3 linked regions of the Rattus norvegicus genome follow. The protein of the gene in region 2 binds, or shares a complex with, the protein of the main gene of each other region. Links are inferred from orthologs where the notes say so. Each region holds a gene or a part of one and is shown on either strand. Other genes may lie near its edges.

Region 1 (3,751 bases), on a different chromosome or scaffold from region 2:
TAAGATGTGAGCATCCTGTCTAAGAAAATAAACACAACCTCAACCAGTCAGGCACAATGGCATGGTGGCAGAGACAAAAGATTCCATGCTCCAGATCAGCCTAAGAGACAGTAAGATCCCGTCTCCAAAACAAAGACCTCAAACCAAACAGGGCTAGAGATGCAGCTCAGCAAGAGAAAGTAAACTAGGACACCAGCTGTCACAGCCTCAATGGGTAGCCTGCATCAAGACACTGGTATCTAGAAGTCATGGCTTCCTACTCTGTAAAAAGAAAGAATCATTTGAGAAACAGAGACAGATGGATCTCTGAGTTCAAAGCCAGCTGGGGCTACATGGGCAGACAGACAGACAGACAGGCATACACACATAACTCTCCCAGCCTCACAGGACTAGTGGGCAAGAGTGAGGACCAGGCTACTGTCTACTAAGAGGGTGGAAGCCACACTGAAACAGTTTCCAGAGGAGCCGGAACAAGCCTCAACTATTGCCTACACATTTACTCCTACCCTGCTCGACTACTCCTCACTGTGTTCTGTCAGCTGGTCAAGAATATATCTTTCGGGCTGGAGAGATGGCTCAGTGGTTAAGGGCACTGACTGCTCTTCCAGAGGTCCTGAGTTCAAATCCCAGCAACCACATGGTGGCTCACAACCATCTCTAATGGGATTCAATGCCCTCTTCTGGTGTGTCTGAAGACAGCTACAGTGTTATTCATATAAATATAATAAATAAATACATCTTTAAAGAAAAAAAAAAGAATATATCTTTCAAGGTCTACCCTAAGAAGCACCTGGGTCACCCGGTGGTGGTAGCACATGTCTTTAATCCCAACACTTGGGAGGCAGAGGCAAGTGGGTCTCTTGAGTTCAAGGCCAGCCTGGTCTACAAAGTGAGTTCTAGGACAAGGCAAGGTTACAAAGAGAAACCCTGTCTCAGAAAAAACAAAAACAAAAAACGCCCCCCTCCCAAGCTTCAATCTTTGAATACACCGTTATTGTCCTTTCCAGCATAAAAACACCATCTCATAACTTAGAGTACCCAAACACCGTGCTGAGTTCACTTCCAGCTCAGATTCACTGAATGGTCACAACCATTTTACTGAACACAACTTGTTCCACTTTGTTGAGTCCTAGACATTTCCAAGTCACCACCTAGAGTGCCAGCGCTCAGATTCAAAGCCACAGTCATTGCACCCCCAAACTGGGATGCTGATTTACAACTTCCTCTACTTCCCAGAAAACACTGCCTCTCTCCATATCCTCATCACTGTTTCTTGGCTTCACTTTCTGAGCCAGAGTCTCATGTGGTGGCCCTGACCTAGCTGAGGATAACCCTAAACCCCTCATTCTCTCTTTGCCTCCCAAGTGCTTAGGATTACTACTGTGTTGAGGCTGTGATCTGTATTTTTTTTTAATCTTACTTTTTTTAAAAGGCCTCAACTCAGTAAACCAAGCTAGTCTAAGACTCATTATGTGCTATTCTAGCTTATTAATTGTTTTCCTTGGGATCTTAACTGAACACAAAATTGGCTCGACTTCATCTTCCAGAATAACTAAAAGGATCTGTAGTCAGAGAACTGGCTTCAGATTCCACTCCTTCCTTGCTGGTACTTTTGAACAATTGTAGTCCTTGTTTGTTAAACTGGACACGAAACTACTTTCTCTTTTAAGGATTGATGAGATTGAGAGACTTTCGCAAATCACGTTTTGTTTTCTTGCCTTGAACGAGCTCCTCATTCTTCAAGACATGTCCCAAAACTCAGCCCCTCCAAGAAACTTTCTCTTTCGCCCCAGCAGAGCAAGCCGTTTTCCCTGAGTTTCCTAGAACTTCCTGCCACTCGCTCTTACTCCACTAGAAACACACATATAGCCGACCCCATGGTTCCTGGTGGGAAGTGGCTCTTGGGACATCTCTCCGGGAACGCTTCCGGGATATGACAAACCCTAAGTTCTCAGCTGAGTTCGCCCAGACGAAACCCCTGAGCCACGGGTTGGCCTCCCTCCTGCGGGCTTACCTGGCCTTAGCGCACAGGGCCTTGACTTCGCTCTCTTTGATAAGTTCGCAGCGCCGCAGCTGCTCGATCTGCCGGTCCAGGTCGCTGATTTCCGCCATGGCCCACCCCCCGGCGCGGGTCAGAGTCGGGGCTGGCGCCCCCTCCGGACCGCACAGGGGTCTCCTGGGAAAAGCGAAGGCGAGCCCGCCAATCAGAGGGTCCGTGCGGGAGGGGGGACTCGATTCTGGGACCGCCCCCCCCTCCCCTCACGGCGGTCCAGGACCCTCCGCGTCCCGCTGCCCTGGCCGCACCCCGCCAACTCCCGTCGAACCCCGCGGGCCCGCGCTAAGGACGGTGGCCTAGAGGGGCCTCGGACAATTACCGCCGCTGAGACTCCAGCTGAGTCTCTCAGACTCCCCACTTCCCTCCGCTTTGGGCCTCCGCCACCGCCGCTTCTACTTCCGGCCTCGCTGCGGAAGCAAAGGGAAACCTGTTCTCGCGCGCGCCGGAAGTGACATATACAAGTCACGCCTCTTTCGAGGCATCGGGAAGGAGAAACGAGGGAGCCGGAAGTGGGCGGGCAAAGTGAGCTGGAGGCTAGTATAGCTGTACTTCAGTTATATACACCAGGTCATGTGAGCTCCGGTAGGCTTCTCGCCTCACGTTACAGTTTTCCCTTGGCTGCTTTCTATCTTGCTTCTATTACAGATCTAACGGATAAAACTGCCTTGTTCATCATTGCTTCTCCGGTGTTTAGAGTAAGGCCAAGCATTGCAGATAGGCGTAAATAGTTGTTCAATGAATGGGCCTATTCTAGTCCACATTTCTTGCCACAGTCCCAGAGAAACCTTGCCATGGAGGAACTCCGAACCTGAGCCAGACATGGTAGCACACCTATATGTAATCCCAGAATTTAGGAGGCTAAGGCTGGATCGTGGATTCTAGGCTGTCAAAGCTACAGAGCAAATGAGCAAACAGAAAAAAAAAAAAAACCAAAAAAACAACAAGATTATATGTCTGATAAAAGAACTTGCCACCAAGCCCGACTGACCTGATTTGGATCCCCAGGACCCATATGGTGATGAGAGAAAACACAGAGGTTTAAATTTAATTGGGGGAAAGTGCCCACTCTCTGGACACCAAGCTTGTTTGACTCCCTTAATTCCAAAATAGTTGACATTTTTTTCTTGGCAGGGTTTCACTGTAGCTCAGAATAGCCCAGATTTCACAGCGAATCTCAGCCCAGATGTTAAGCAACCACACCCAGCATTACTTCCTATTGCCTGAACATATTCCTTGAAGGTGGCAATGGATGGGTTCAAAGACTAGCTTGCTCACGTCAACCAAGGTTCAAACATGAATCCAGGAAAAGTGGTTTTTCAAGCCTGGCTTTCACGTTTCATTTACTGTTGCTGAAACTCAAAATATAAGACCCTGACACTCTCCAAATTCACAGTACATGTACTCCTCTTCCTTCTCTTTGCCTTTTGCTGTAGGCAGAGTAGGTTATTAATCTCTTCTGCTCACCATATTCCTCAATATTCTATTGTCCCTCTTAATTTTGAACAGTTTTATGTGCTTTAAGATCGTCTTTTAAGGGGTGGGAGAGATGGCTCAGTGGTTAACACTGGTTGCTCTTCTAGCCAACCACCCAGGTTCAATTCCCAGCACCCACATGGCAGCTCACAATTTTAACTACTGGTCAGGGGATACAACACCCTCACATATTCATAGTTAAAATAATAATGTACATAAAAT
Region 2 (3,651 bases):
TACAACCATTGATTATAGCACAGTACCTTCTACAAGTTCTGTTGTCTTAAACATGTTAATTTGGAAACGGGCCTCAAATTTTATCCAATATGAATAAACACCCACAGAAATAAGATGGTATTTCAAAGATTTGATTTCTAGGGTTACACAAGAGTTTATTTAATGTGCTGGGCATGTTAAATTCTAGCACTTCAGAGACAGAGAAAAAAGGTAAGTTTTCTTTTCATAATCATACATCAACACTATTACAGTTTTTATTAATACATGAATAATAATACTATAAATTGAATGTCTTAAATTAAATATACTGAATTGTAAAATTAAGGGAAAATAATGTATGGGTTCCTAGATAAGAGCCTCAACAGCTATTTCCCAATGACATTAAAACTATCCCCACCCCATCCCAAGGAATAAACTACCAGAGTTTGCTATAAGAGTTTGCCATGCTGTTGGGGATTTAGCTTAGTGGTAGAGCGCTTGCTTAGCAAGCATAAGGCCCTGGGTTCGGTCCCCAGCTCCGAAAAAAAAAAAAGACAAAAGACAAAAGAAAAGAGTTTGCTATTTACTGTGGCACACACTTGTCCCAACACTGGAGAGGCTGAAACAAGAAGACCTGAGACCAACATGGATCCCTTAACAATATCTCTCAATCAATCAGCCACCTGACTGACTGACCAGGAAAACAAATTACTTTCTTTTGTACTTTTCTGTTAGCTGCGATTATGGTGCTTTTAAACAAAATTCACCTTAAAAGTCTCTTGAAAACACATGACTAAATCTCACTCAATCTAATTATAAAACTTTAAAGATTGTTACCTCCTTCTTAGGATGTATCCTGGTGTCCCTGTCTCTGTCTTTCCCTTTAGAGACTTATTATTTTAAAAGATTTATTTATTATGTATGCAATGTTCTGCATGCACATACACCTGCAGGCCAGAAGAGGGCATCAGATCTCAACCTCTGAACCATTTCTCCAGCTCTATTTTTTATTTTATATGCATTAGTGTTTTCCCTAAATATATTTCTGAGCCCATGTGTGTGTGCGCAGTGCCCACAGAAAGCCAGAAGAGAGTGTTACATGAGCCGGTAAAGTCTTTCTGGAGTAAAGACTGTTGTTAGTTGCTGTGTTAGGTGCTTAGAATCAAACCAGGGTCCTCTGGAAGAGGACCAGTGCTCTTAACCCTTGAGTTATTTCTCTAGACCCAATGTCTTAAATCTAGTTACTCAACATCAGCTTTAAGTTTCACAATTCAAGAAAACTATGAAGCTGTATTATCTTACCTTTACTAGGCTTATCTTCTGTTGTATTTGCTAGTAAGGGAGCAGTGAGAACATGCATACAGTGCTTGTAGAAGAAACCCAGAAATTCAGTCTTTTCTGTTTTCTATGGAATCAAAAATACTTTGATGAACTTTAACTGTATTGGTTCCTACTAGCAATAAAACAGATACTACTATGAAAAAGGAGAAATGGCTATGACTCACATTGGCAGTGGCTAGCATGTTCTCTGGGTCAACTAAAGTTCGAAGCAGGCCCATAAGTTGGACTGCTCCTCCAAGCTCTGGATCTGTATCACAAATCATATGTTCTATAATGAGGTTGATGAGCAAAATATCCTGGTGACAAAAATACACATAATACAGATTACTAAGACAGATATTGTGGCATTACCGCTACCTCTAGCTGTCTTGTTAACCTCAAGTAAAAAAGAATGACTGATCATTTAACAGGATAAATGGAAGTGTCTCTTTTGCCTGATGGTGGTTCAAAGACAATAAATAGTACCAAAAGAAGTTTAAAAGTCCTCCTCCTCCACTCTCTGAGACAGGATCTTACTATGCAGCTTTGGCTGGCCTAGAACTAAAAGGCACAACTCATAAAGATCTGCCTGCCTCTGCCTCCCCTGTGCTGGGATTAAAGGAGTGTGCCACCACCTCTGGCTTTTTCTATTACCTTTAAACTCATCTCATTAAAGAAGGGAGGGGGGACCAAAACAAAACAAACCACAAAGGTCAGGGTGGGTGTTAAAATGTCTTGCTTCTGTACTAACTTCATCGACCTTTTGTAGAAAGCTCATGAGCTTCACATGTATGGCTTCATGTATGTATGTTAAGACTACTTAGCTAGAATTTATAAGCCTGCTTTGGTTTCACTGCATTTACTTTTATAGTTTTCCTTTATGGAAATAACAAATTGAATAAAAGGAGACTAGAGTGTACAGAACAATAGTATATTATGTGGATTCCAAATGTCAAAGAAAACCAACTTCTGTTTTTCCTAAGGACCTTTTAGGGATGGTGTTCTTGGCCCAAAGGACAAAGAAAAACTGAGGGAGGTAAAGCGAGTAAACTCTGTCCATTTGCCTATATATGCTAGGGTAAAACAGACAAGGACAAAGAAAATACAGACAGTATATGGAAATGATTGGAAAATGAAATCCAGAGGCCTTATGCATGTTTGTGAAGTGTGAAGACACACAGGCATGTCTGCTCACCCAGTGGCTACAGGGCCTACAAGAATAGCCTTTAGTTTTAATTACTCAAGATATTCTGGTTCTTAAGATAGGACTATTTCATAGAAGAGAAATATAAAGATTCAGTAATTCATGATACAGCTCTGCATATACTCTACACTATAATTTTGAAAACAAACATAAATATAGACATTACTAGGCATTCAACTTCAATCTGGCACAGTAGATTTTTAAAAATAGAAGCTGTTTCATTTTGTAAGAAACACTGCAAGCTGACATTTTGCAGAGTCCATTCCCCTAAAAGAGACATCATTTTCCCATTCTCAAGGAATTCAAGATAGCTTAATGAGTAAAAAGTAGCTTCCAAAAATTTAGAAAGAGAAAAAACAAACAAACACCAAAAACCAAAAACCAGAGGCATTGGTTTAAAAAACAGAGTGGAAGAACATACACATTCAGGCTTCTTCACATATCATGTACTACACACTCAATGTACACTACCAGTCTAAGCTACTTTTAAAGCCAATTCACTGACTCTAATTTCTGATTAAATGCAGCCACAGCATACAGGCAATAGCTGCTTCTTATTCCTCCCTAATAGTTTTCAGGGGCCATATTTTATCTCTTTCCTCTTGATGAATTCTGAGAATCCACCTCTGGTAGTTCTTTCCAATGAATGTTATTCATCGTCCACATTCAGAATGGTCAATTGATTTAAGGGTCTAAATAAATCATTACAGTCAAGTCAACTTCACAATTAAAAAAGCTGACTTCAAATACAATAAATTTATAAACTAAGGCAGAGGAAACTGAGGGAAAGAGTGAGCCATCTGACGTTATGGCTACCCCTTCCCAAAAAGCACATTAGTTTAGATCTTAAAAAATACATAACCCCAGCTAAAGCCTCCTATGCATAAATACTATTAGTGTAAATAATATTTACCTTGCTGGTTATTTTTTGCTCTGTTAACTTCTTACTTACATCATCATTCTGTTGTGCCTCCTGCATGACAAACTCTCGTACCATGGATGGGTTATATTCAACCAAGTATGAGAATATATCAGTAGCAGCACTTCGCACCTGTGTATCATCCATGCCCTGCAAAGGAAAAAGTACCAGTCTCTTTTAATCTTAAAAACACAGAACTTTATCAATGAGATTACCACAAAGTACTACA
Region 3 (3,651 bases), about 2.5 Mb from region 2:
AGTTCTGGGCCTTTGCCTTTGACAGCTTTTGCATAGGCATGGGAGCTGGAGATCCCTCAGTGAAGAACATTATCCTAGACATTTAGTCTCTAGTCCTAGATATACCAGTCCCTAAATTCCTCAGTAGTCAATCTGAACATGGATTTCTACATTTCTACTTTAGAGGTTACACGGTTCTGGTGATGTAACTGACATGTGCTATGTTCATCAGAATGTTTGTCAGATATGTGGAAATCATTAATATTTCTGAGGAACATGTCACTGAAGATGAGGTAGCAGGGAAATGATAGTCAAACACCAGTCACCTGGATGTGACTGTGCAGGATTAGCCTGTCAGAGGATATTTTATGTACCCAGGTGATAGTAACATTAAGTAGTAGAGATCCTTCCAGAAGGGTGTGAGCTCAGGATAGTGAACATGTCTCATTTAGCAATTGCTTGATATTGGTTTGGCAGGGAGTAATTGTTGAGAACATACCTTAGGGTGATGATTATCCTTCTTGTTTTATTTCTTTAAGAACGTCTTACCTGTCCAAAGAGCCGCAGCACGAACTCTGTGCATTTTTCTACGATATAATCGCAAACAAGAGCAGAGGCATGAAGTCATTCAAAAGTTAATTGAACGTAAGCAATGATTTTGGAAAAAAGTTACTAAAATAATTGACCTTAATTAGATCTTTAATGCATTGTATGTAATTTTTTGAAGCAAAATTGGACTGATGTTGGTAAAAATCTGGTGTGTGCTTTTATTTGAATTTTGAAGGTTAATTTGTATTTGTCTTGGAAATCTTTATGTCAAAATTTCATAGATGAAAATAATATTTAACCAGAGTGGCCTTTTATGAATTCCAACACTTGAGAAATTAAAATACGTAAATGTAAGTTGAAAGGCTAATTTCTACCTTGGTGAAATAGCATTCATAAATCTAATAATTTATTATACAATGCTGTTCTCAGTATGTATTGAATGAATAAAATGTAGGCTTATAATTTTTTACTGAATGGTGTTAACAGCATTGGTTAGCAGAATGGTGTGACTCTAGTGAGCTGTAGTGGTTTAGAAACTAGGTCAACACATGCAAACTTATTGTGATTTGTTAAGGGCTAAAATAATGGCAAAAATCTTTAAGGTGTTAATCTGGTAGCAAATATATACATTTGTCTAGTGAGCTTATTAGTCACTGACTACTTGGCTTTGACTACAATTATGCTTAATTGGTTTTTAATAAAACTATTATCCAGACTTCCTAACTACTATAATTTATCATTTTAATCAAGAAATACCACATTTCAGGTGAAAGAGTATTTTATGAAATTCTATTTAAGAACAGTTAGGCTCAGTATGTTTTGCTTTTTCTTCCCATGACCTGATTTAGTTCTGTTTTCCTTTTGCATGAGAAGGGTCTTCCATTCAGAGTACGTTGTTTGATTTTTAAAGATTCTGTTTGGTCTTAAGTATTAAGAACATTGCCTTTGCTCATTTATGTAAAAATGAGAAAATTATGCTTTGAATACTGACCTATAGTAATTGTGTTTACATATGACTTCTCCACTTCAGACACCTTTAAGGAAACAAAAAGAGAATAACTAGTTTAATTTTAAAAGGCTTGGAGAGCCTGCGTTTGAATTAGTCCAAGAGTATGCATCCCATCATCCTGTTTTCCAGGTATAAAAACGGTGTGTGTACAGGGTCCTTAGCATGTAGGTGGTGGCCATTCATAGTGACCTCATCATTCAGTCATCACAGGTCATCCCAAAGTGGTTCTTGGTGTTTTGTATAGTAACACCACTTCCTAGTTTTTGACATGTAAATATTGTAGTCTACAAATCTAGAGCACATAATGACTATTTTTCTCTTATTGATTATATTTGTTAAATAGATTGCAGATAGAATTAAACTTTACATACATTTTTGGTGTTTCGTTTTGTAATATATAATTTCATGTAGGAAATACTGTATTATGGTATTTTTGTTGTTTGTAGAGTTGGGTCAAGGAAAAAGTTATTGGAATAGACTTCGCTTTTTGGATACCTGTGAATTTATCATAGAGATATTTTCCAGATCATTTTTCTGCAAATATTTCTTTCTACCTGTTATTGAACTAACACATGACCCAGTGGCAAATGTGAGGTACGTATCACTTTTCAAGGTTTGAAAATGTTGCATTTCTCATTTCTATTGTGGTAAACATTTGCAAACCCTTTTTCTTAGTTAATCAAGTGAGGAATTGATGCTTGCTCTCTGTTATTTTTGAAGCTTAACTTAATAGTCATACAAGTATGGGGTATAGCATGATAATTTAATAATTTGGGTATTAGATGTAACAATAAAATCTAGGTAGTTAGCATTTTCATTTCCTCAACTATTTGTCATTTCTATGTGCCCACAGCCTTCAGCCTGGTCTTCTAGTTATTTATAAAATGTACAGTAAGTTGTTGTGAGCTGTAGTCAGAGTGCAAGGCATTCCTCCTATATTAACCGGCTTTTGGTGTTCTTCGCCTGCCTCCTTCCAACCGTCCTTCTACTGCTAAGAAGCACCGTTCCATTGCTCACCTTTTTGGCTTCCACATCTCAAAAGGAACGGGCAATATTTATTTCACTGTAGGGAATGCCTTCCTGTTCATCTGGGTTGCAGCAGTGTTCCATTTTCTGTTAGCGCTGAATACTCAATGTATTTATATACCATGTTCTCTTCACCCAATTGTCTGTTGATGGACATCTCAGTTGGCTTCATGGCTTGGTTAGTAAATAGTCTTGGGAGACAGAGTCACTCTCTTCACTGATATCTGAGATCTTTTAGCTTACTGGGCTGAGCAAGCACAAGTCAAGGCCAGCCTGCCAGCCTGGCTCAGCAAATGTCATCTGTATGATAAGAGCCTTAAAAGTCTTGTTTACCAAAAGCTCTAGTCCCTAATTTCAAGAACTTTATAATCTTGTGTGCCCACGAATCAATGTTTTCTAGACATACTTTAGGTGATAAAGAGTGATTTATGCTTTGTGTGCTTCTCAGGTGAATGGTTTAACATTTAATTTACTGAGTTTAGACACCGTCCAGGCTGGGAAAATCCTGTTGCTATTCAGAGGAACCTTTTCTTCCGTGGCCAGAGTGAAGGAAGTTTTCTGGAGAGGACTTGAGAGTTCTTAGTTAAAGCGTCCCCTCTATCTGTGCTGAGCAGTGAGTGAGTTAGAGCCCTTGGTGTTTAATGTTGAGAATCCCAGAGACAGCTTCTTCACCTCTTCAGATGCACAGAGCCAAGGGCTATTGTGTAGGCAGTGCTCTCACCTGAAGGCCTGCAGACAGCATCCTGGCAACCCTTGGAATGGGATGTAGGTGCCTCAAGGTTTGCAAAAGCAATACAGAGCATTAACCCGGAGAGCACATGATGAGGGAATGACTGCAGGGGCTGTAAGGCATCCCTTTCCAGAACTGGCCTAAAAAGAGGCAGAGTTGGTGTTTATCAAAGCAGAGCACCTCAGTGGCAGCCGTCCTTCCCCGGGATTCTGTTCTTCAGTCCGGGTTCTCTGTTCTCCTCCCTGAGCCTCCCGGTTTCTTCTTTACCCAGCTGATCTGCACAGTGGCGGTACCTTAGATGTTTCCCATTCTCCTCCTCTCTCACTGCCCCTATGCTAAGTGTCTTCATCCTAGGCCT

What was found.
Region 1: Ppp4r3a (region 2) and Ppp4c share a complex: the UniProt entries of both Homo sapiens proteins name them as parts of the PP4 complex. The link is inferred for Rattus norvegicus from reciprocal best matches to the Homo sapiens genes PPP4R3A and PPP4C.
Region 3: Ppp4r3a (region 2) and Ppp4r4 share a complex: the UniProt entries of both Homo sapiens proteins name them as parts of the PP4 complex. The link is inferred for Rattus norvegicus from reciprocal best matches to the Homo sapiens genes PPP4R3A and PPP4R4.

What each region holds. Positions count from the first base shown.
Region 1 is NC_086019.1:190,827,721-190,831,471, forward strand, and holds the start of Ppp4c (serine/threonine-protein phosphatase 4 catalytic subunit), read right to left. Parts: upstream 2,528-3,751; 5' UTR 2,376-2,527; intron 2,342-2,375; exon of another isoform or gene 2,177-2,341; 5' UTR 2,113-2,176; coding exon 2,015-2,112; intron 1-2,014. UniProt on the Homo sapiens protein: Protein phosphatase that is involved in many processes such as microtubule organization at centrosomes, maturation of spliceosomal snRNPs, apoptosis, DNA repair, tumor necrosis factor (TNF)-alpha signaling, activation of c-Jun N-terminal kinase MAPK8, regulation of histone acetylation, DNA damage checkpoint signaling, NF-kappa-B activation and cell migration.
Region 2 is NC_086024.1:126,043,055-126,046,705, forward strand, and holds part of Ppp4r3a (serine/threonine-protein phosphatase 4 regulatory subunit 3A), read right to left. Parts: intron 3,573-3,651; coding exon 3,456-3,572; coding exon of another isoform or gene 3,417-3,455; intron 1,617-3,416; coding exon 1,485-1,616; intron 1,385-1,484; coding exon 1,282-1,384; intron 1-1,281. UniProt on the Homo sapiens protein: Regulatory subunit of serine/threonine-protein phosphatase 4. May regulate the activity of PPP4C at centrosomal microtubule organizing centers.
Region 3 is NC_086024.1:128,500,946-128,504,596, forward strand, and holds part of Ppp4r4 (serine/threonine-protein phosphatase 4 regulatory subunit 4), read left to right. Parts: intron 1-518; coding exon 519-624; intron 625-1,983; coding exon 1,984-2,131; intron 2,132-3,651. UniProt on the Homo sapiens protein: Putative regulatory subunit of serine/threonine-protein phosphatase 4.